3 linked regions of the Solanum lycopersicum genome follow. The protein of the gene in region 1 binds, or shares a complex with, the protein of each later gene. Links are inferred from orthologs where the notes say so. Each region holds a gene or a part of one and is shown in the gene's direction. Other genes may lie near its edges.

Evidence for each region.
Region 2: SNF1-related protein kinase regulatory subunit gamma-1-like (region 1) and GAL83 share a complex: the UniProt entries of both Arabidopsis thaliana proteins name them as parts of the probable heterotrimeric complex. The link is inferred for Solanum lycopersicum from reciprocal best matches to the Arabidopsis thaliana genes AT1G69800 and AKINBETA1.
Region 3: SNF1-related protein kinase regulatory subunit gamma-1-like (region 1) and SNF1-related protein kinase regulatory subunit beta-3 share a complex: the UniProt entries of both Arabidopsis thaliana proteins name them as parts of the probable heterotrimeric complex. The link is inferred for Solanum lycopersicum from reciprocal best matches to the Arabidopsis thaliana genes AT1G69800 and AT2G28060.

The regions. Positions count from the first base shown.
Region 1 is NC_090800.1:6,171,598-6,180,062, reverse strand, and holds SNF1-related protein kinase regulatory subunit gamma-1-like, read left to right. Parts: upstream 1-3,524; 5' UTR 3,525-3,658; intron 3,659-5,679; 5' UTR 5,680-5,727; coding exon 5,728-5,896; intron 5,897-5,981; coding exon 5,982-6,424; intron 6,425-6,636; coding exon 6,637-6,903; intron 6,904-6,999; coding exon 7,000-7,172; intron 7,173-7,602; coding exon 7,603-7,885; 3' UTR 7,886-8,238; downstream 8,239-8,465. UniProt on the Arabidopsis thaliana protein: Regulatory subunit of the probable trimeric SNF1-related protein kinase (SnRK) complex, which may play a role in a signal transduction cascade regulating gene expression and carbohydrate metabolism in higher plants.
Region 2 is NC_090811.1:69,118,500-69,126,999, forward strand, and holds GAL83 (SNF1 kinase complex anchoring protein), read left to right. Parts: upstream 1-2,984; 5' UTR 2,985-3,004; coding exon 3,005-3,211; intron 3,212-5,230; coding exon 5,231-5,409; intron 5,410-5,497; coding exon 5,498-5,660; intron 5,661-5,818; coding exon 5,819-6,139; 3' UTR 6,140-6,359; downstream 6,360-8,500. Other genes in the region: uncharacterized protein, read left to right, coding at 1,486-1,956; receptor-like protein Cf-9, read right to left, coding at 6,789-8,500. UniProt on the Arabidopsis thaliana protein: Regulatory subunit of the probable trimeric SNF1-related protein kinase (SnRK) complex, which may play a role in a signal transduction cascade regulating gene expression and carbohydrate metabolism in higher plants.
Region 3 is NC_090810.1:59,795,964-59,804,144, reverse strand, and holds the start of SNF1-related protein kinase regulatory subunit beta-3, read left to right. Parts: upstream 1-2,977; 5' UTR 2,978-3,117; exon of another isoform or gene 3,118-3,210; intron 3,211-3,443; exon of another isoform or gene 3,444-3,459; intron 3,460-3,719; exon of another isoform or gene 3,720-3,722; 5' UTR 3,723-3,786; intron 3,787-5,611; 5' UTR 5,612-5,624; coding exon 5,625-5,678; intron 5,679-8,181. UniProt on the Arabidopsis thaliana protein: Regulatory subunit of the probable trimeric SNF1-related protein kinase (SnRK) complex, which may play a role in a signal transduction cascade regulating gene expression and carbohydrate metabolism in higher plants.

The DNA.
Region 1 (8,465 bases):
GTAGTTTTTAAAGAAAGACACGTTTTTTTTAAATATATATTTGAAGTAATAATTTTTTTTATTTAGAGTTATGATTTAACTTAAAAAAATTTGTTAATGACATAATACATAAATATGTCATTTAACTTGACTTCGAATCACATTTATGCCCTTCAACTTTGGGTGTGCACAAGTAGACACTTAAATTTGTATAAAGTTGAACCGATAGATACACATGTCCTACATATCATCCTACATATCAGTTTTTGTCATACGTGGTGTTCTACGTGTATTTTGCCATGTAGAATTCATGTATTTATTTATTTAAAAGTTGGATAGTTAAAGTGTCTATTTGTGCATTATGAAAGTTGGAGGTCAAAGTTAAAATCTGAAGTCAAGTGTAAGATCCAATATATATATTATGCCTAAAATAATTTAGGATCACAAAATATTTCATAGCTTATTTCAAATAGAGAAAATAGTCAAATGCCCCTTAACCTTCGAATTTTCAACTACCCACTTATACTTTACGGAGGTCCTATTAACACCCCCCAAATACATTTTTAAAATGGAATATATAGTCTCCTTATATATATATATATATATATATATATATATATACCTTTCTTTTTTTTAATAAAAAAAATTCTTATCTTTTTCTTTAGAGATAATGCACAAGTACCTCCTTAACCTATGCCTGAAATCTCGGAGACACACTTATACTATACTAAGGTCCATTACCCCCCTGAACTTATTTTATTAATAATTTTCTACCCCTTTTCGACCTACGAGACACTATCTTGTGGGCCCAACAACGGTTGACATTTTTTCAAGTTAGTGCCACGCAGGCCGAAAAAGGATAGAAAATTACTTATAAAAAAAGTTCAGGAGGGTAATAGGACCTTAGTATAGTATAAGTGTGTCTCTAAGATCTCGAACATAGATTGAGAGGGTACTTGTGCATTATCCCTTTTCTTTATTCTATTTTCCTTTTATATTTTTTTCTTCTCTTTCCGGTCCCTTTCTTCTTCTTTTTTTTTCATGACATTTGTTTGATGAAACTTTTTTGCCATTGAAGAAAAGAATTACAAGTTTTATTTGTGACGACTTTAAACTTATTGTAATGAAATGTGTAGTTAAGAAATTTCAAGTTTTAATATTGAAAGGTAAAGTTACAAATCTATAATATACTTTAATTTTCTGCCATTGATCAATCTTTTTTGCACCATTTTCATCTTCCTTTCAAACATCAAAAGTCCATCAATCAACCCAACTCACTCCGTCCTTCTTACCATCAATATTATTAAGTCCTAAACCTTTGACATATCAAAGAACTCAAGTTTAGGAGGAGTTGGTGCCGTGTTTCATGTTTTCATTATCGATGACCGCAACGATAATTTTCAAGAGTAAAAATCTGGCCAATTTTTTGAATCCTAACCGTTTCATCCATCATTTGATTGGGCAGTGAATACAAATAATAGATCTTTTAATTTCTATTTTCGAAATAACATATGAATTTTGTTGACCACCCAAAATTCACAAAATTCTTTCTGAACTTGAATTTAAATTATTAAATTAGGACATAACAAATTTTGTTATGAATATAAGTTATGCTAGGATTAGTTATGTTGAGATACGTTATACTGGATAAGTTATGTTGAAATTAGATTTTATTGCTTGTTTGATTTGTCATATTCAAACTAATATTCATTGTATAATTGTAAGAATAAGTCGTATACACTCACCTTATTTAATTTTTATTTATTTATTACATTTTCTTTAAGCCTTTGTTATTCATTCTTAAAAATAAAATTACCATCTTAACTAGCTTAAATATTTTTGTGTGTGCATTTTCATGATTATGCAGTGTATATTTTTAAAAATTAAACTTTCATCTTATTTAACTTAAAAATAAAACGTTTATTTTATTTAGCTTAAAAATAAAATGTTCATCTTATTTAGCTTAAAAATAAATTTTTTATCTTATTTAGCTTAAAAATAAAACTGTCATCTTATTTAGTTAAAAATTAGAGTTATCTACATTATCTAGATTTTAATTATTGATAAAATATAATTTTGATATTTATAAAAAATAGAGAAAATGTACAAGTACCCCCTCAACCTATGCCCGAAATCCCAGAAACACACTTATACTATACTAAGGTTCTATTACCCGTGAACATATTTTATAAGTAATTTTCTACCCCTTTTCAGCCTACATGCCACTATCTTTTAAAAAAAGTCAACCAACAATAGGCTCACAAAATAGTGTCACGTAGAACGAAAAGGATAGTAAATTATTAATAAAATAAGTTCAGGAGGAGTAATAGGACCTTAATATAGTATAAATGTGTCTCTTAGATTTCGGGTATAGGTTGAAGGGGTACTTGTACATTATCCCTAAAAGATACGTAATTTAGTAGTAGAGTAAACATTTTAAGAATAATCAAAATATAAATAAACATAAAAATTAGGCAAATGAATTCAACTTATAATGCATTCATAAATAAAATTTGTATTTGTAAAATGTAAATTTTTAATAGAAAAATATATTTATCATAAAAACAACAAATAATTGAAGTTGTCAATCTTATTATAAATATTGTTGAAAATTATATTAATATGTATGAATGTAAAAGTGATGTTCAAAAGAGAGTTTAAGAGAGAGTATTCTTGTTGATTTACACGCCTTATCCAGGGAATCACTGTACCACCATAACTTATCCTAAAACTAATTGTTAATCTTAGGATAAGATATTCCTACCTTTGCAACCAAACAATGAAAAATGTCGCTCAAAAGTTATCCAAGAATTAATTCATTTTATTTGTCACATCAAATGATTCCTTATTATTTAATAGGAAGGGTAAACTAGACACAAAAGGTAAATCGTTTCTTAATTTTTAAGATTAGATAAATATTATCGAATAACTATTTTTTATATAGCAAATAACTATTTTTGAACGGATCAGAGGGACTAAATCGTGAAAAAATAAAAACAAGGTTCTATTACCATTTACATTATTATTATTTATACTTTAAAAATATTACATATCTTATCAATAATTAAAAAATTTCTATCATACATTAAGGAAAATACACATAAATATGTGTTTTTGCTATTAGGTACACCAAAATATTAAGAGAGACAAGTAAGATTTGTTATATAATCCGTGAATAATGTAAATCGCACAAGATACAAACTAAATACATGTATTTTTATATATTGAAGATTTGTTACGTATCTCAGATATATACATGCGAATCTACTTGGATATATAGTATGTCTGCACACATTACACCCAATTTCGATTCATATATTTTGAGATATATTTATATGATCATACCTAAAATTCATAATATTACAAATTACAATATATCATTTTATTATTTAATAATTAAATCAAAATATTTTGTTATCTAAAAATTAATATTCAAATATATATTCAGATCGAAAAACTCTCGAAAACGAAAATTTGTTATGAGATGGTTGGTGGTGTGGTGGTGGGTTATAATACATGGATGAAGTAACACGTGGCGGGTAAGCATAACAGATGGCAAAAACAAGAGTAGTAACTAACTTGTCATCTCATCATCACTAACAAAAGATTTACACCCAAATTACACATCTCACTCTCTATCAAGCACAAAAATTAAAACCTCTGCACAGCAGCCTCACAGGTACCTATATATATACATATATTTTTTTTCTTCAATTTTACACTATCTATTATCATTATTATTATTACTATATCTTATTAGTGTGTGGGTTTAGCAATTGATTAGAATGTTCATAATTAGGTAATTGAATGTGAAAAGAGATCTTTTTTAAAAAAAATTTGATTAGGTTTGGTTTTGGTCCAATATTTTGAGAAATTGATATACGGAATTGAATACTCTTGATTGGGAAGTAGAAAAGGTGATAAATACTCTTAAATGTTTTGAGCTGTTTTGGGGAAAACTAATATCACACTGAGGGAGGAGTTTACAGGCTAAAAAGGGGCACGTAAAATTAGATATTTTATGTAAATATTTTTTGTATTGACACCTATCCGAAGGCTAAATAGTGCAATTGGTTGGATTGTTTAGTTATTTACTTGTGTTTAGTTCTCACTTAATACATGTTTTTTTTTTTAAGTGTATCCATGTTGTACAAATTCTAGCTTCGCCTATGATTACATTATGTTTGGACAGCATCACACCATCTTTTTGGACTGTTTTAGCCCAATATTATACTACCTGGTTATAATTATTTTTCATGAAAGCATGTATATTAGATGTCGAATTCTTTGTGCTAGTTCGTGTGTTCAAGTTTTCAAATTTTGAACCTCTTCGACATATGTTCTTCCCCTATGGCTTTTTGCAAGGACAGTCCAATAAAATTCTTCTCTAGTGTAACTCTCACTTACTCATTGTGGTTGCGTTTAGCGCGGCTTTCAAATCTATACATAGCTAATTAAGCAAGTAATGTGTTGATCAACGTACTCTGATTAAACTCTGCATAAATTGTTGCAACTGTCCTATTTATGATTTTGTTCCGACTTTTGCTGGGGGGAGGAGCTTCTCAGGAACAGAGTTTCTGATACCCTATTCACAATATAAACATAATTACAGAGTTATTATGATGCTTATTTTTGAGATGGTACTGAGCAGAAAGAGATTTTATTGTTACCATTAGTTTCAATCTTTCATTATTATTCTTAAGTGGAAATACAAAGTTACAGACATTTGTAATAAGAACTAATGAGTCACTGAATCCTTCAATCGAGTGTAGGCATAAGTTTGTAGCAATGATGTTTTCCTATCAATTCTTGTCATAGAAAGTTACTCGACTTTCATTTTCAATTCAAAAAGTCACTTAACTATGACTTCTTTGCACAGAAAGTCACTCAAATTATTTATTGTTTAAAATTTGCTGACATGAAATTTTAATTATTAACTAAAAATTTAAGAACCAAATATATATCCATTTAAACCATTTAATGACCCACCCGATTTACCCGGAGCCACTGAAATATAATACTGAACTTTTTATTTTGCCATTAATTCCCTGATGATTCTCCCTTTGTCTCCCCATCCTTTCCCTTTACGTTCTTCTCTTGTTTTTTTTTTCTTTCTAAATTTGTCAATTTAGTGGTTATTGAATACATGCACATTATCACAAATTTTGCATTGGGGCACATTTAATAGTCGAGGTTTGCTAGTGACACACCAACTGGATATAGAAATGTTTTATTCAAACTCCGTTCTCGCAAGTCCCACCATATCCCATTCGCTTTCAAATTTCTTAGATTTTTTTTCAAATCCCCTATTTTTCTCATACTCAATTTACTACTACAACTGCTACTGCGAATTTTTCATAGAACAGAAAAGCACAAAATGAAAGGTTAAATGAGGCAAGTAATTAAATGGTTTAAATGGATATATATTTAGTTCTTAAATTTTTGGTTAATAATTAAAATTCTATGTCAGCAAATTTAAAGAAAAAAATAATAAAATAGCTTGAGTGATTTTTTGTGCAAAGAAGTCATAGTTAAGTGACTTTTGAGTTTAAAATGAAAGTTGAGTGACTTTCTATGAAAAGAATTGATAGTTGAGTGACCATCAAAGTTATTAACTCAATTTGATGGTCAGAGATTCTACCGACTATCACTATCTTCTTTAAAGTTTATGGATCTGATTGTTGTCATGGTGCTTCTCAGGAATATATTCTTAGAGCCAGGTCCCCTTCTCTGTGTATATTGAAGTAAATGGCACAAGCAAAAATTACGGAAAATACGTCGAAACTTGCAAGTTATGATGCTTATTTTGAAAAGGCCCAGAAAAGAAAGAAATTGCCCCGTAATTTGCAGGAAACTTTGACTGATGCATTTGCAAATATTCCAGTTTCATCCTTCCCTCAAGTCCCTGGAGGAAAAGGTATATAAAATATACAAGTTTTCTCGTGATTATGTTTTTGATATCCAATGTTGTATCCTAAACGGCTACGTATACCTCATTCCAGTAATTGAAATAGACGCCGAGACTTCTATAGGCGATGCTGTCAAAATTCTTTCAGAATCGAACATCCTCTCAGTTCCTGTGAAGAATCCAGTGGCTAAGAATAGTTTGGATTGGAGAGAAAGGTACTTAGGTGTCCTTGATTACTCCGCTATTGTTCTTTGGGTGCTGGAGGGTGCGGAAACAGCAGCAGCTGCCATATCAGCAAGTTCGGCAGCAGCAGCCGGAGTTGGAGCAGGTACCGCTGGTGCTCTTGGAGCACTGGCATTAGGTGCAACAGGTCCTGCTGCAGTTGCTGGTCTAACGGTTGCTGCAGTCGGTGCAGCTGTGGCAGGTGGAGTGGCTGCAGATCGAGGAGCGGGAAAGGATGCTCCAACTGCGGCCAATAACTTGGGTGAGGATTTCTACAAGGTTATCCTTCAAGAAGAACCCTTTAAGTCAACAAAGGTGGGCATGCCTTCTAAAGGATTGAATTGATTGATTAAGAGAGACTTTACCCTTCTTATTTAGGGTGCTTATGTCTAAATTATTTGCAGCTGCTTCGCGTCTTTAGTACTCTTTAACATGAAAAATAATGATCATATCAAAGCGCTATTACAGATATATTCAGAGAATTTGACATGAATACACATGACAAGGTCAAGTAATTACATTCGCAGGTGAGCTCCATCATAAAATCCTATCGATGGGCACCATTTGTTCCAGTAGCAATGGACAGTTCTATGTTGAGTGTGTTGCTGCTGTTATCAAAATATAGGCTGCGGAATGTACCTGTGATAGAAAGAGGAAGTCCATACCTTAAGAACTTTATAACTCAATCAGCCGTGGTACGGGGTCTTGTAGGATGCAAAGGGAGGGATTGGTTTGACTGCATCTCCGCTCACCCTATATCAGAACTTGGCCTCCCATACATGTCCGCTGACGAGGTCTGTCATTTGTTACATCTGAATACTATGTATTTTTTAATTTTAATAATACAAAAGTTGGTGACTGGAAGTCTTGTCTTTCAATGTGTATGCCAGGTTATTAGTGTCCGAGACGATGAACTGATTCTGGAAGCATTCAAGAAAATGAGAGATAATAATATCGGAGGTCTGCCGGTTGTTGAAGGATCAAAGAAGAAGATAGTTGGCAATGTAAGCATAAGAGACATCAGATTCTTGTTACTCAAACCTGAACTATTCTCCAATTTCAGGTATGTGTTCATATAAATTGTTAGTTCTTTGCTGATAATGAGCTGCCGTATTAATTTTTTTAGTCGAATACCTTCCTCTATAATCTTTGGTCTCTCTCTCTTTTCGAGAGAAGATCTTCTATCCACTTGTCTATGAAGAACCTCAAGTCTATCGGGAAAGGATGTTGTGATAACCCCCTTTGTCTAGAACCACAGACGTCCAGCCGTGTCGGAAGACTCACCCTCGACCCCACCATTACTATTTGATTACTTCTACGATAAATAATAAGAGTTTCAATTCTTGGGAAACTTTCTTATGGTTGAAGTTGTGCAAGAAAATCGAACAATGATTAAATGGAAAAGCGATTCTGACTTTTATCATTAGGCTCAGAGATGTTCACCTCTTTTTTTTTTGTGTGTATGTACTAAATTTTGCTCGTTCGAATAACAGGCAGCTGACAGTTGCGGGTTTCATGAACACAGTTGCTTCGGCAACCCATGATGCCACAAAGGCAGCTACGCCAATAACATGCAAGCTCGGTTCAACTCTTTGTACTGTGATAGACACTCTCGCGTCCAAGTTAGTTCACAGGATCTATGTGACAGCTGAGGATGGCGATGAAGTTGTTGGTGTGATCACACTCAGAGATGTCATTTCCTGCTTCATCTATGAACCATCGAACTTCTTCGATAACTATTTTGGATTTTCTGCACAAGAAATGCTCAGGAACTGATATGTTACTGTTGGTCAATAAGCTGGTTACGGGCGACTAGAAGATGCAGTAAAAAGAATCCGCACCAGGTTTTACCATAATATTTATGAAATAGTCTCTTTTTACCAGTTCAACATCTGCATAATCATCCTTTTATGTCAATCTATGTAGCTCTATCGCTTGCTAGTTTCTTGAGTTCCCTTTTTTCTGTTTCCCCGGCTTGTTCGAGGTTGTTGTAAAGAGGATTTAGGATTTACCATTTCATACCTAGTTTGATCTACAAGGGTACGAGCATAGCTCGCCCTCAGAGGTTGTACTTTGCTCGCTCTTTAATAAATTTTGACCACCTCTAAGTCCCGTATTTTGTTACAAAAGATGTTGCCTCTTCTTTTCTTCTTCTTAAATTTAAGGTATAATACTTGAATATATCTTTTAAGTTAATCTCATTTTATATATATATGTATGCCCTCCAATTTTGACTGAGCGCAAATAGGTACTTAAACTTATATAAAGTTGAACAAATAGACATACGAGTCCTACGTGTAACAATATACGTAGGAAATTACATAGGATACAAATTTTTATATAGGATGTCATGTAG
Region 2 (8,500 bases), on another chromosome or scaffold:
TTGCAAGCTCATGTCTTTTGAGGTTTATCTATACTAGTTTCAATTCTAGCAATGAAATCTTATCTTTATGTGACCTTTTCAGTTGTGGCGCAGATAATATATGCCAGTCCTACATTAATGTTTTGTGTTGGTTCCTTGTGAGTCGAAACAAATTAACTTCCGTCTCATATTGTGATTTGATGCAGATTAACTTTCTTCAATTACCTGTCCAATAAGCATAAGTTTGCTCACCTCTTTAGTGGCTCAAATTTCATGGATTCAACCTTAATTTGCTACTATACGAGCAAAGGAAGCTTTTTTTTCCTATAGTTTTGATACAACATAGGCTTGTTTTGTTTCAGGGAAACCGCTCTGGTAGTTCTATGTTCCTATTGGAGGAAAATGGTCTAGAGGGAGTATTGAGTAGAATAGTAATATTATCAATGCAGTATGAAAATGCTTATTATCTTCAATATGGTGTTCTCTGTAGCTATTTTGAAAATTAAGATCAAAACATTAATTTTGAATATTTCATGTTGCACCTGCAAGATGACCACACTTAGATGAATTTCTTTCAGCGTTTGTAAATGATCAAATTCAATTTCAGCACTGTTCCCACTCCATATGTGCCTTCCTTTTTCATTTGTTAAGTGTGTGGCTTCATTTTCAATTAGTTAAGTGGAAAATAGCTTTGAGATGTTGCGCCTTATGATCAGTGACATCTTATGATCTCATGACTTTATTGACTGGTTTACTGGAAATAACACTTGCAGGTGGTTTATTTAAGTATTTCTGAACAATTTATTCATGCATGTACATTAGAGGGTGAAATAAAGAGGGTCATTCTCTTGAAGTATGAGTTGTTTGAGGGGGATAGAGTTTGCTCTGATTCAAAACTGTATAGTAGCTACTGGTGAAAATGGCTTATTTGAATTCACTTTATCAATTACCTGTCTCAGACGAGCTGGTGGTGTTATCTCTTATCTGTCATGCATTATCTTTTCACTTGAAGGATCTTCTCGCGATTCAATATACGAAATTTGCTTTTGATTTCTTCTTGTATTTTGAGAAAGAAAAAAGGGGTCTCTTTCCTTTGTTCACTTGGCTTATGCTCTTACTTTGTGAATGTTTTTTACATTTTCTCATGCTCTGTCCTGCTATATTAATCCATGACATTACTGATATCTGCAATTTGTTCTCTGTTTGCCGTTGCGAATTTCTGAACAATATATTCATGTATTCACTTGATTACTGGTTAATTTTAGTATAAATATTAAAAATATGCTAGACTTTACGCTCTTATATATGATTCATTCTTATCTTGCATTGCTTCCTACAGAGTTGTTGTCAAATATTTGTTTTGGCTGATTCATTAAGTTCAATGCATGCTTCAATTAGCTAATTTGATTGTGCCACTTTCTATTTAATTTTCTTTCTTCCTGTTGCTCAGGCTTAATCTGAAACAGTGGAAATCAGAGAGAAACCGAGGGAAAAAGCAAAAAGGTAATGGCAAAACCATCACAACCAATTCGAAATGAGAAGGAGGAGATAAAAGAGACTGATACTACGGCATCCACCAACAATAATGAGAGCAGCAAAAAGAAGGTGACAAGAAAGTTGCCAAGCGCGAGAGAGCTTGTATCACACTATGAATCACAAGGCGTTGACTCTCAAGAAGCTTCCTATAAGGTCATTGAGGATCTCCAGGGTGCTCTTTTCAGGGTGATCAGCACCTCTCGAAATGACAAGAATCGCAATAATAATAGGAATGTGTCATCTGAAACCTCTAGAAAACTCGATGTTATCAATGCTCGACTGCTCAGCCTTGACATGAAAGTTGATTCCAAGCCAGGCTACCCTCAAACCCTCGCCATCGGGATGGCCTCTGGTGGCCTTCTTCAAGTGCTCCCTCGTGTTGCAGAATCGGTTGTCCAAATTTGGAACTCTGTTAGAAATGCTACCAACTCAAAACAGTAATAGACCATAAATCTTGTTGGTTAGCAATGCTTTCTTGTAGTCATGGTTTTTTCTACTTCTGAAGTAGAGTTTTGTTGAACTTATGATATGCCAAAAAAATAGAAAATTGTTCTCTTAAGGCCCCATTGTTCAACCTGGTGTCATGTATCTTTAGCATGTATATCACAAATTTTGGCTGATATACAGTTGTTGTCACCCAAGATCTATGGTCTTTATTTCTACTAGATGAGCGTAACGTTTGCATACAGTCTATATTCTTTTTACTCAACTCATGAAATCACATTGAATAAATTATTAATATATAGTCAAATCGGAATTTCATATTTTATTCTCCACATTAACTTTTCTTTTTCATTTGATGATATTAAAAGTTCAAAAAAATAATTTTGTCCTATTTTCTTTATTATTAATTGTTGATAATAATAATACTTGGAGGCTATCACTATCATTGTGCTCCCAAAGCAACGTGGGCACACACCTAAAGAAGATAATATATGCACATTTATAAAATTTAGTAAATCTACACCTTCCATTTTGTACTTATCCTTTATCAACCATTTTGATCTCTCCATGTCATCAATATTTATCCTCTAAGTTTTCCTTTTATATTTTTTCACTTTCCATTTCTACCCTTTTCCACTCGCTCTTCGATCAAGAGTATTTAAAATATTTTTTTTATTTCGTAATAAGTAAAAATAAGATTTACGTATATTTCAATATATTTGTTGCATTATTTTGTAAATTATCTGCCCTCCAATGAAGAGTCTTTTTGAAACAATTCATTTTTATTTCTTAAGAAATAAGAATAAGATTGACATATATTTCATTGCATTTTTTGTATTATTTTATAGATTAGTCGAGGTGTTTTTAAGCGAAAGTAGAAGGAAGAAAAAAGTCAACTGAGGGCATTATTGTAAATAAGTTCAATAGTGTGCCTTATCTTTTACTGTATATATATAAACACGAGAACGTGACTCTTATTACTTTCTCTCTCTACATATACATACAAAATATACATATGTATATTCACTAGCATTATTGGGAAGACATGGGGAATGCGAACGCCAGAGAAGACGGCGCCGCCGGAGACGGCGACGGCGACGGTCAGGTATCGGGAAGAAGATCTAATGTTGAATCTGGAATAGTAGAAGATCACCACGCTCTGAACTCGCGAGTGCCTTCGGCTGACTTGATGGTCAATTCTCCTCCGCAGAGTCCACATCGTTCAGCTTCACCTCTCTTGTTCGGACCTCAGGTTTCCATTTTTATGCTCATTTTATCCTATTTATTATATATACATATGAAATAGTATATGTGTATGTGTTTGTTTGTGGTGTTGGTGATTCAAAGGGGATTTAGGATTTGGTGTGGAGTAGAGCTCAAATGAGGTCTAATTTGAGCTTTAGATATAGTTCATTTGTTCAATATGTAAACTTTTTTTACCTTTTTGGAGATTCAAACTAAGAATTTTGTCTTAAAAATGTATTTTTTAAAGGAAGGACAGGGTTTTGATCAATATTAGTGTACTGTTAGAGTCCTATGTTAGTTGGAGAGGGGAGGGACTGGCAATGCTTAATGAGCTAGCTTTTTGGGATGAATTAGGCATTAGTATCGTATATTTTACTTGGTATCCGAGCTGGGTATTGGCTTTGTTTATATGAATTTGAGCAATCCTCTCTTAGTGAGCTAGTTTTGGGGGTTGAGTTATACTCAAATGTCATAACTTTACATGGTATAGAGTTGGATCCATGCGCATTCAAGCTCCTTGCCCACACTACAGTTGGACCTGTTCGTGAAGGGGTGGTTAGAGTTCCACTTTGGTTGTATAATGAACGGATGGTCTGCTTATATGGACTTGGGTGAGCTAGGTTTTTTGGGTTGATTTAAACTAAGTATCATATCTTTACAAGTACCAGAAAACACAAAAGAATGGACTTGTCTCCATTTAAGTATTTAAGTAATCTAGCAAATGATGAGCGAATGCAGTGTAGGGTCTGTGCCATTTACAGTGTTCTGTCTTTTCCACATATAAAGTTTGCTCGCCATGGGGTATATACTTGAGAAAAGATGAATCATTTGCCCTTCAAAACATCTATGATTTCTTTTTATTTAAGTGCACTTCTTACCATATTGATATGATGAGAATCACAACTTATAGTACTTTCTGTTTTGTTTCCAAATGTCTAAATTTTAATTACAAAAAATGAGTTGATCTAGCCTGATTTACTGCAAAAGTTGGTCTCGTTGACTCTTCTTTAGAAAATGTGCCAAACATATTAGGATGGAAGAAGTAATCATTTTTAAATGGTTTAATCGTATGATGGTCAGCTAAGGTGGTGGATACACCCACACCCTATGCAATTACTCTGCATGTTATACTGCCTGTCTGTATGCCTTTGAGTTGCGGTGATGTGTCTGCATCTATAGGGGAGAGTTGCAAATTGATTGTAGTGCTGTTCATTATATGCTTAACTGTGATTTGTTGTGTTTTCCCAATGTAGTAGCGATGAAGTGTTCTGCTTGACACTAAATTGAAACACCTATAGGAACAACCATTACAACATCCTGATCCCAGATCGGTAATATGAATCCTCTATTTTCATTCCACTTCTATTAGGTTTTCATGCTATTCCTATGTGAATTTCCTTCAGGAAAATGCTGAATGAACTCTTCTTTCTGTTTAGTTGGAAGCTTGCATTATAGGGCTTGCCTGAGTGTTGGCCTAGCCCTCTGTTAAATGGGAAAAGGGAAAGCATCTCATGGCCTGTCTATTTGTTGGGTAAAACAGACAACTAATTTATATTAGCAAGGTACATGAAAAAACAAAAGGAACTTATGCCAGTCAAGCAAGCTATAATGTTTCTGTATAAGAACCTAGTGCATCCGGGAGCAGGTGGCGGGTGCAGAAATGTTATGCTGTAATCTTAGTAGGACTGGTGAAACCTTAGTCAATCTGTAGTCAAGTGACAGTTTTTCAGCTCTGAATAATTCACTCTTATTCACTTTGGCTGATTTTTTTTCCACCTTATATATGATGAATATTCTTCATGTTTTGTAGTCAGCACTATCACTCAAAATTTAGGCTTTTCAAAGTGGACAGAAGGGAATAATGTCCCTCTGAGGTTGGCAATTACCCAAGCAAGCACCTCTTATTTTTAGTTAACTTGGAGATAGACCAGAGCAGTTAATTGCTTCTTGGGCACCCCAATCGTACCTCATAAATACTTACGACTGACTAGTTTCGAGACTAAACTCCTCTTTATCATCCTTTCAGGTGCCAGTAGTTCCTTTACAAGGAGGGGATGGCAATCCTGTTAGCAATCAAATGTGGGGCAATGAATGCGAGGATGCCTCTGATCATTCACTAGAGGGCGGCATACCTACTTTGATAACATGGAGTTATGGTGGTAATAACGTTGCTATCCAAGGATCTTGGGACAACTGGACATCAAGGTATACTCTGATTCAACCAAGTACTAGCCTGTGATCATTCCTGTTAATGGAGTTTCTGAATGTATCCACTAATGATATTTGCTTGCAGGAAAATTCTCCAAAGATCAGGCAAGGACTATACCGTTCTTTTGGTCCTTCCATCGGGTATATATCATTACAAATTCATTGTGGATGGGGAAGTTAGATATATTCCAGAACTTCCATGTGTAGCAGATGAGACAGGCGTTGTCTTTAATCTTCTTGATGTTAATGTAAGTGAGAGTTCTGTTTCCTGATCATTTTGATACATTATCACAGCGGAGGCATCTTTGATAACTTCAGCACATTAATGCATAAACATGTGTTTTATAGTCTATATACTTGCTGTTCCCTGATAATGTGTTTGGCTCATAACACGTCCTTCATACAGGACAATGTTCCAGAGAACCTCGAAAGTGTTGCAGAGTTTGAGGCCCCACCATCACCTGACTCTAGCTATGCGCAAGCTTTGATGGGAGAGGAGGATTTTGAAAAGGAGCCAGTGGCAGTTCCACCGCAACTTCATCTAACTGTTCTTGGTTCTGAAAACTCAGAAGAAGCACCTTCTTCTCCAAAACCCCAGCACGTAGTACTTAATCACCTCTTTATAGAGAAAGGATGGGCTTCTCAATCCGTTGTTGCTCTTGGTTTAACGCATAGATTCCAGTCCAAATATGTCACAGTTGTTCTCTACAAGCCACTGAAGAGGTGACCACTCCGTGTTTACAATCAAATCTTTCTAGAGCTTTCTCAGTGTGGCTGCTTTAAGATTTCCACTGTTTATAGACCTGCTCAATGTTCAAACTTCCTTTAACCTCTCCTCTGTTGTACAATAGAGCAATGCATTTTCTCGTTTCTTCACCTCATCTTTTTGGTGATTTTATGTTCATAATGTTTTTTTAATCACAAAAGGATTAATGTGCAAACTGAAAGGCAATTCACCACCAATGCATCTTTTGGAAGACAGAGAACAAAATAACAAATATCTCTCGTCCCTTCCTCGATAGGTTCTTGTTTTTTGTGGTTTATTATTTTGGAATTCAGTGAACTAATTGTAGCTGGCATAAGATTTTCTATTGCATATAACTTGTCATTAAAGATCATCTCAACCTCAATTTTCATGGCCAAATATTGCTACACACTTTATGCAAACAGGATTAAAATAACGATAATACATCTAACTTAATCCATCTTTTCCCTGAAGAAACAACAGTAGTATCATTAGTGATTATTTCTTCTTCTGCAATTCCTTTGCCTTCGCTGCAACTTTTTGAAACACAACTTCTTCTTCCCTTTATCCACTTCCATAGACACTAGATCCTCGCTGTAATCAAAATATTTTAGTTACCTGAAATCAAAACTTAGAAATGATTGTTTCTTCTTCTGTAATTCCTTTGCCTTTGATGCTTCTTCTTCCTTCCTCTCATAATTTTGTGCTCCATCTCTAGAATGATTCTTGCAAGCCATATCGGTTTTCCAGTTGACAACATGAAATATATTATGGATAATCCGATACATAGTCCACTTCCATACCCCATAAGAGCACCTTTCCAGAAATCACTCTGAAATTCAGAATTGCTTCCAGATACGGTTTCATTTGTATCTAATACCCCAGCATCGCTGCAACTTTTTGAAACAGGGAATCCACGTAATCCATCATTTTCTTCATATGAGTTGCTCTCAAAAGTGTGAAATTGAGGTCCTTGAGGAATGCATCCTCGGAGATGATTATGGGAGAGGTTTAAGAATGAAAGAGACGTAAGAGAAGCCAGTTGTTGTGGTATCTCTCCCGAAAGCTGGTTTCCTGATAGGTCCAATGATTCAACTGAAGATAAATCTCCGAATGATGGTGGTATTTGACCTTGGAATCCATTATGTGATAAATTCAATGTATGAACTGCAATGAGATCCCCCATGATACTTGGAATTTGCCCTCCAAATTTATTACTTGAAAGGTCAATAACAGTGTACAAATACAAGATACTCACAATTTCACGCTCAAATCCCTTTGTTACGACAGCTACTGTGTCTTGGTAATATCCATCACTTGGTGCCTTCTTTGATGGATCAATTGTCTTCATGGCTTTCAAATGTTGAAACAAACCCGTAGGTATGTTTTCTGTGAAGTCATTGGAAGAGACATCCAATATTTGAAGCTCAAGAAACATGTTTTCACTTCCTAAAGTTCTAATGGGTCCATGCAACTTATTCGATCTCAAGCTTAAAACTCTCAACTTAGGAAGAGTTCCCAACCACATGGGGAAGATGTCATTGAGGTCGTTATCTCCTAAATCAAGAACTTGCAACTCTTTGCAATTGGCCAAAGATTGAGGAATTTTCCCCTTTAGTTTATTGCCATGTAAGTTGAAGCTTCTAAGTGTTCCAGTTCTGAAAGTCATTGGAAGAGTCCCAGAAAGATTGTTGTGCTGCATATCAAGAACCTCAAGATGACCACTGAAGTTGCCAAAACATTGCGGGATCGCTCCATTCAGATCATTTCCACTTAAATCTAGAACTTGTAGTGATGTTAAATCGCAAATAGATAAAGGGAGCTCTCCACTGAGATTATTATGTGACAGTGTCACAAACTGGAGAGTAGTGATATTAGCCAAACATTGCAGAATTTTTCCTTTCAAGTTGTTTCTCGACAACTGCAGGAACATGAGGAATGTCAAATTGCATATAGATGAAGGAATTTCCTCAATCAGATTGTTGTCATGGAGATACAGCACCCGCAAGTTTCTCAAATTACCAAAGGAAGAAGGAATTGCACCAGTGAGTTGATTATTGGATAATGTCAGATGATAGAGGATACTAAGATTCCCCAACTCACTAGGGATTAGGCCAAATAGTTGATTATTGAATAATTCCAGAGCATTGAGGTTTTTCAGATTCCCCATCTCTCCAGGAATCAGGCCAGAGAGTTGATTATCATAAAGTTGAAGATATTTGAGCTCAGTTAAGTCACCTATAGTTGTTGGAATTATACCAGAAAGATTGTTTGTATGTAATATTAATTCCTGAAGTGACTTCATCTTCCCTATTTCTACAGGAATGGAACCAGATAATTCAT
Region 3 (8,181 bases), on another chromosome or scaffold:
ACAATTTTCTCCGATTTTCATGTGTGTGGTGATATGAATTTCACACAATATTTTGAAAACCTTTATTGAATCTCCACGTAGGGAATTGGGGGGAGCAATTTGTGAAGCCTCACCATTTTTTTTACATATTTTGGGCATTTACGAGCCATTTTACGAAAATTAGGTACTTTTTTTATTTATTATGCGTGTTAGTCTATAAATATTTTAATTATATGACTTTCAGACAATTTTTACGGAACCTTTATGAAACTCTTTAATAGGGACTAGAAGGAGAAATACATGAAGTCTCACAAACCTTTGCACAGATTTTGGACACTTGGGTTCCATTTTATGAGAATTAGGAAATTCTTTTTTTAGTTTTTGTGTGTTAGCCCATGAATATTTTTGTGATATGACTTTCAAATAATTTTTTTGCATAACATTTTTCAAAACGTTTGTATGGTGTTAGGGGAGCAATATATGAAGCCTAACCTTTTATGATATATTTTGGACATTTAAGAGCCATTTTGCACAATATTTCACGTATTGCTCGTTGAACCCGTATGAGAGTTTTGTAAAAGTTTTGCATTAAAAAATCGTCTGAAAATAATATCACCAGAATATTTATGGGCTATAACACTTTAAGACTAAGAAATTATGTTATTTTGTAAAAATGAATCTTAAATATCTAAAATATGTGAAAAAATGGCGAAGCTTCATGTTTGCTCCTCGTACTCCCTATTGAGAGTTTTGTAAAGGTTTTACAAAAAAATTGTTAAAAAATCATATCACCAAAATTTATGGACTAACATTTAGGAAAAACTAAGTAAATTGTCTAATTCATGTAAAATGGATCCTAAATGCCCAAAATATGTGCAACAACGGTGAGACTTCTCGTACGGGTCCTTCGACTCCCTACGGAGGTTCCATAAAGCTTTTGCAAAAAAAAAAAAGTCATATAAAAGTCGTATCACCAAAATATATATTGATTAAAACGCACACACAAATTGAAAAAATCGCTTAATTCCTTTAAAATGACTCATAAATGTTCGAATATGAAAAAATGGCGAGACTTCAAGTACTGCTCTCCAAACTCCATATGAAGGATTTCATAAAGACTTTGCAAGAAAATCGTTCGGAAGCTATTTCATCAAAAATTTCATGGGCTACACATACGAAAAACTGAGAAAATCACCTAATTCTTGTACAACGGATCCTGAATGCCTAAAATATGTGCAAAAAATGGTGAGACTTCATATATTGTTTTCTCAACTCCCTACAGAGATTTCTGTAAAGGTTTTGCAAAATAATAAATAACATGCATGCAAATTCTAGAAAATTGCCTATTTTTTTGTAAATGATCCCTAAATACCCAAAGTATGTGTAAAAAATAGTGAGACTTTACGAACTTCTTTCCCAACTCCCTATGAAGGTCTCCGTAAAAATTTGTAAAAAATTGTCTTAAGCCATATCATCAAAATATTTATGACCTAAAACACATGAAAACTGAGAAAATCGCATAATTCCTATAAAATGAATCTTAAATGCCCATATAAATGCAAAAATGGTAAGATTTCACGTACAAATCCCTCGAATCCCAAAATGATTTCATGCATGATGCATCATGTATCGAAAATGTATCATGATGTAATGTATCCAAAAGTTATCATAGTACTATCAGTTATCTATGTAATTGTTATTTGCGTTCTAAATCCTGTAATGTCGTATCAAAAATTAATCAATAGTGTAAATTTCACTAATTAATCACATTATTGCATTGATTGCTTGTATTAATTAAGGCCATGTGTATTTAATAGTAACAGTCTAAATTGTATCTTTGATATAAAATTGTGTCAAAACTTTGATATAAATAAGAAAAAAAGTAATATTATGCAATCACATATACTTGATTTCGAAATCACTATTTGAATCATATTAGGAACGAGTAAAAGTTGTCAAGTCTACTCAATTCGAAAAACTTTAAGCCAAATGATATTTGAAGTTAAGATGAATTTCAAACACTATATTTGAAATTATATTTTCTTAAAACGTTCAAATATGTTTATCTAAAATTAGACTTTATTAAAATTAACTTTGAAAGTGACACCTCTAAAGTCATTACAAAGTAAGTAAATGTGAGTTTTCTTCTTTGTTAATTTAAAGTTCAAGTTCAATATTCAAATGATTCTTTCTTTTTGTTTTGATTTATAAGTATATATGGTCCAAAGCTATTTCATAATTCAATATTATATTTTGTGGCGGTAAATGAATAGCTTGAGTTGAGTATGGACGAGTTAAAATAATTTGAACAAAAACGAATTGAATTTTCAACCCCCATATATACACACTTTTCCAACACTAATCCTATTGTACATAACTTTTGTAGCATTTCATTTAGGAAAAGTTTTGCAAATAGCAGTAAAAACAACTTCATTAGGCTTTATAGCTATCGTTTGCTAATTACGATTCTTAGCTACATGTTAGAGGCGGAGAAACGAGCGAAGAGAGGGATGAGAGAGGTGAGCCGAAGAGGGCAGAGATTAGAGAGAGGTGGATTATAATTATATATTTGCTGACTTATACATGTATATTGATTATATAATTATATATGTAACTGATATACATATGTATTTGTATATCTTTACAAGTTAGACTGGAAGAGAGAGGAGAGACTAGAAACAGAGGACAAAGAATGAAAGAAAACAAATTGTATTTGTATATCTATCATATTATTGTATATGTATATGTATAATTTGTATATATATAAGAGAGAAGAGAGAAGAGGGAGGAAGATAGGAGAGAGGCACACATAATTATAGCTAAAACAGAGTCTGCGAGTTATAATTAATTTAAATTATAACTATAATAGCTAATTAACTAGTATATATATATATATATTTATCCGCGTAATTTTCTCATTTCCTTTATTTACTTAATTTGTCATGCTCTTAATTAGGATATTTTATAACTTGGCCCATTTGCTCTTTTTGCTTAAGCCCAATTGTTTAATCTTTATGTTCCTATTTTTCTTTTTTTGGCAAAAGTTTTATTTCTTTAGAGAATTATGTTTTTTCCTAAAATACAATTTTTGTGATTTTGTAATTTTGATTCTTTTGATTCCAAGGCGGAATCTTCTAGGTGAGATACTCTATATAACCTGTAAAGAGTGTGGTTTTTTTTTTTTTTAGCTTTTGAGTTTCAGAACCCCTTTTGTTTTTCTGGCATTTTCAGGTGAAATTCATTGGTTTTAGTTCTTGGGATTACTTTTTTTTGCTTTGTGTAAACTTAAAGTTTTGATTTTTATGTGCTTCTTTGCCTGTTTCTGTAGAGTTTGTGTATAAAAAAGATCATTTTTACTAAATTCTTTATCTTTTTTTTTCTGCTCTGTGTCTTGTGGATCAATTTGGGTGTTTTTGTTTAGTAGTTCTTGTTGGGTTTATCTGATTTTTGTTTATAAAGTTTTGATTTTTCTGGCATTTTTCAGGTGAAATTCTTTGTTTTTGCTGTTGGGGTTATTTTTTTTTGGTCTATGTAGAGTTAAAGTTTTGATTTTTATGTGCTGCTTTGCCGTTTCTGTAGAGTTTGTGTTGAAAGAAATCATCTTTACTGAATTCTTGATCTTTTTTCTGCTTTGTGTCTTGTGGATCAATTTGGGGATTTAGGTTTAGTGGTTCTGGTTGGATTTTTTTGTTTGATGGATTAAAGTTTTGATACTTCTTGTGTTTCCATTGTTTTTTGTGCAGATGGGTTGTTGATTCTGGTGAATTCTTTGTGTGTGATTGAAGAACCAAAGAAAAGTTGAATCAGGTTAGTGTAGCTTGTGGACGTTAGATTAGTTTATGAATGTTTGTCTTTGTAGTTACTTGTTGTGTTTGCGAATTTATGATTGTAGAATCAAAATCACACATGCGATCAATGTGTACAGATTGTGTAGATTCCCCATGTGAATGATTTTGGATCAATTTAGGGTTTCCTTTTTTGGGTGAGGGGAGGTAGATCGTGGTACTAGGATACACACTACCCTCCCTAAACCCCACTTGTGGGATTATGCTGGGTATGTTGTTGTTGGTGCTGCTTCTGGATAGATTATTGATACATGTTAAATAAATTTTTTAGAGGTTGGCAAAGTAGTTGATTCTTATTTTAGAAAGAAAATCCTCGGTCAAGAAAGATCTGTAATTTCAAATTGACAATCTGTAGTATCCGATAAGCAGCTTTTATCCACTTTTGGTGGGTTTTGTGTTACTGGAGTTATCCTGCACTTGGAAGAAGTAGGAATTATTGGTTCTTCGTCAATCACCTGTTTGAAGAACTTTTAGGAGCGATAAATGTGTCTCAATTAGCTAGTGGGATAAACAGAAATGTAATTGAATCATGCAGCCACGTGGTGTTTTGCATCGTAGATTAATTATTAGCACTTAATCATGGAGAAGGAAAGAGTTACGTATCATCTGCCCTTGAGCATGGAAAACTCCTGGTGATTTACATGGTAGATAAGTTTTTTGCACTTAATCACAGGGAAGGAAAGAGTTCACGTAGCATCTGCACTTGAGCATGGAAAGCACATGGTGTTTAGGATGGTAGATAAGTTATTATTAGCACTTAATGGAGAAGGAAACAGTTTACGTAGCATCTGCATTTGAGCAGCGTTTCCATGTTTGTGCTCTCCCCTTAAATTACATGTAAAATTAGCTATACACGTCTAATGAGCTGTGAGTGTACAGTGTACACTTGCTTTGTATGATAGTGAAAAATGCACTACTTATCAGGAAAGATAAAAAGAGTATTTACAAGAGTGCAATACTGGATGTTTGCTTAAAAGTGTGGATACTTAAAGATGAAGCCCAATAGAAATAGGTTGAAAGGAGTTAAAAATTTGCATAGTAGATTACAAATATTAGTTAAGAGAGGGATTTGGTGGTGATTATCATAAGCACCGCTGTCATCAATGTTTAAAAGAATTTAAGATAAACATAGTTGGTCCTCGAGGAAGCTTTTGAAGTTAGATTAATCATTTTAGTTAAATTTAATTATATATGTGTGTGTTGGTGCCGATGCATACAACCTCCTACTGATGAGAACTATTATCTATCAACTTTCAGTTAGACTTCTGTGCAACCTTGCTCTTGGAACGACATTAACAAAACGAAGAATTTGTGGAATAGTTCAGTGTTTTGTTTCATTGTAAATTAACTAGTTTTGAAACGGTGGTCTACCTACCACAAACTCCTCCTTTATCTGGATTTGTGACTAGCAATTTGAGTAAGCTGACATAATTTGTTTGGGATTGAAGCGTAGTTGTAATTGCTTTTGGCTGATGGAAATGAGTTAGAAGAGAGGATTGGTGGAGTGGAAAGGCTAAACCAATAGCTAAGGCTTTTGAATTTGCTAGGACAAACTCGCGGATGGATAATTCTAACTATTTGACATCAGTTATTAAAAACTGTTAGTTGAGTTGTCACATTCGAAGACCTGCTCTTATCTTTGGCTGTATTCTTGGGGCAGTTTAAACAATATAACAACTACTACTCAATCCCAAGCTAGATTCTTTCACTTGTATTTTAATAATCTGAGAATATATGCGATATTGACGAAGTTTGAATTGCTGCATGTTTTGGATTTTTTTATTAAGGTAACCAGTTGGAATGTGGTGTGGAGTGCAAGCATTTATGGAAGTAGGGGTAAGAGTATGGAATTGTGTACGTGTTCCATCTATATATAGGCCTTGTTATTTTTAAATTTACCCTTTTTAGCGTCTCATTTTTTGTGTATGGTATATGCCATAATGGGGTCATCGGCTGATCATTAAGTCAAGATGGATCAGTTAATGTTTTCAACTTTGTTTTCATACATTACTAGTATAGAGTCATTCTTCTATATTTGAGAATATTAGAGGCCAGATAGAGTCAAATAAGTTAGGTACTTGTGGTCATTTCGTAATTGAAACTTTTGGTAGACAGTTTACACCCTCCATCCGTTTTTACTTGTTCAGTATTGACTTGACACACCCTATAAGGTGCAATACATAGAATGACAATTTACTATATCACCTTTTGAATATAATAAATTTATATTTTGGAAAATGACTAGTTAGTAATAAGCGTAAATTAGGAACTAAGTGATAAATTATATCTTGGTTTTCTGAACTGGACAAGTAAAAGCAGACAGCTATTCTTAGTACATGGAATTGAGGCCCTTTGTGGTTTTATAACCACACATGGATTAATCGCTAATCAAATCATAGGTTTCATCAGAACTCAACTATGAGAAATCTATGGTGTAAAAACTATCATAGAAAAGTTAAGAGTCATCATGTTCGTAGCACAAGATTAAGGGAAGAAGGTTTAGAAGAAACTCAATCTTTTGAATCCTCCTTGAAAAATCTCGAGTTCAATCTTCTTTTCTCTCTATATTTTCCTGAAAAACTGTCTGGCTGTGCGGCCTCCCGTCTGTAACAACATCCAAAAATTTTCTTCTTTTTCACCCCTTGGAGAACTGTTACTGCTAGTATTTTTGGAGCTGGAGGAGGATTTCTTATGTGAATTATAGCTTGAAAGCGGGGCTTACCTTTTACACAAGGATTTCTCTTCCTTTTTCTACTTCTAGAATTGAGAGTGCTATTAAAGCTCATGTGTTTCCATCTTCAGAATAAAGTTAAAGTTACAATATCTAAGTTTAGAATGTGGGGGGACGTGTTAAGTTTGTTGACCATGTTTGAAAGCCTTCTTTTTGAAGGCAGAGTTGGAAGTTCTTCGATCGATGATACTTTGATTTTGGATAGGTTGAGGTATCTAGTTGGGAAGAATGAGTTTGATTATGTTTGAGGGGAATTTCCTACATTGAATTTTAAGGGAGGAGAGTGCGAGTCCGGTGCAGCATAGTTGGTGGATAAGTGCGTGTTAGCTTGAAGGAACTTGTTCTAGTATTTTAAGGACAAAGGGTATAGTGTGCACCGTTATTCTTATTTTAGTAACAAGTGTTGATCTTGTATGGTGTCCTGTGAAACTCTTTTTTATCTCTCTCTTGAATATACATTGAAGAAGCTTCTGTACAAGTTCCTAGCTGCAACAATTTGTTGCTCATTTCGGTTTGACATGTTCCGGAGAATAGCTCTGTAGATCTTGCATGAATGTTTCACCCTAGGTAAATGTCTTCTTCAGATTCTACGTATAGGATAGCAGTGCTATCAAAAGCAAAAAACGCAAATAAAACGTGAGCTTTAATGCAAAAAGGTGCCAAAGGAGAAAAAACAAACAAATATTATATGTTTAGTCCAAGACTAATAATTTATAAGCATGAATGACAAATATATATACAAAGAAATTGAAAAATAATTACAATATCAACTGTTTATGTCGTCTCTTCAGAAGAGGTTCATTAGCGAGGAAAATTATGCCATAGAACCTTGATGACAACACTGTAGTGCACATTAAGCGACGCGAAGTGCTCGACATGATTTGTGCCTCATTTCAGGGTTTAAGCGTGCCTTGGATAACACTGAGGATTAGGATCTTGTTGTAGATATTTATGACAAACTTCTACAGTAGAAAAGAAATGCTTGAAATTGTCAAAGGCGCGCTTATGCATTGAAGGCGAGACTCAGAATTGTGTTGAGCACTTCTCCTCGCTTAATGTGTGCTTTATCATCATCATCAAGGCTCTAAGACATAATTTTCCTTGCCAATAAGCCTCTTCCGAAGAAGCAACACCAAACAATTTATTTGTTCTATTTTTTCAATTTCTTTGTCCGTATGTTTGTCATTCATATTTATGATTGTTAGTCTTGGACTACACCTATATATATGTATATATATATATATATATATATATATATTTGTATTTTTCTCCCTTTGCACCTTTTGCATTAAAGCCTCAACAGACCTCGGAGCTTTTTTGCTTTTGATAATACTGTTGAAACCTTGAAGTTGGTCATCTTAAATTAAAGCCGATCATTGAACTCGGTCATTTTCTTCCACGGCAGGTGCCATTTATAACCGGGAAACATAATTGTACCACTGTCTTTGTTCATTTGAATTATCTCGATCATTGAACTCGTTCATTCTCTTCCATGGCAGGTGCCATGTATAACCGGGAAACATAATTGTACCACTGTCTTTGTTCATTTGAATTGTCTTTCCGTTTATGTTATGTCTTTTAAGCATACGTTCAATTTATAAGGCTCTGAATTGTGTCAATTAAAGG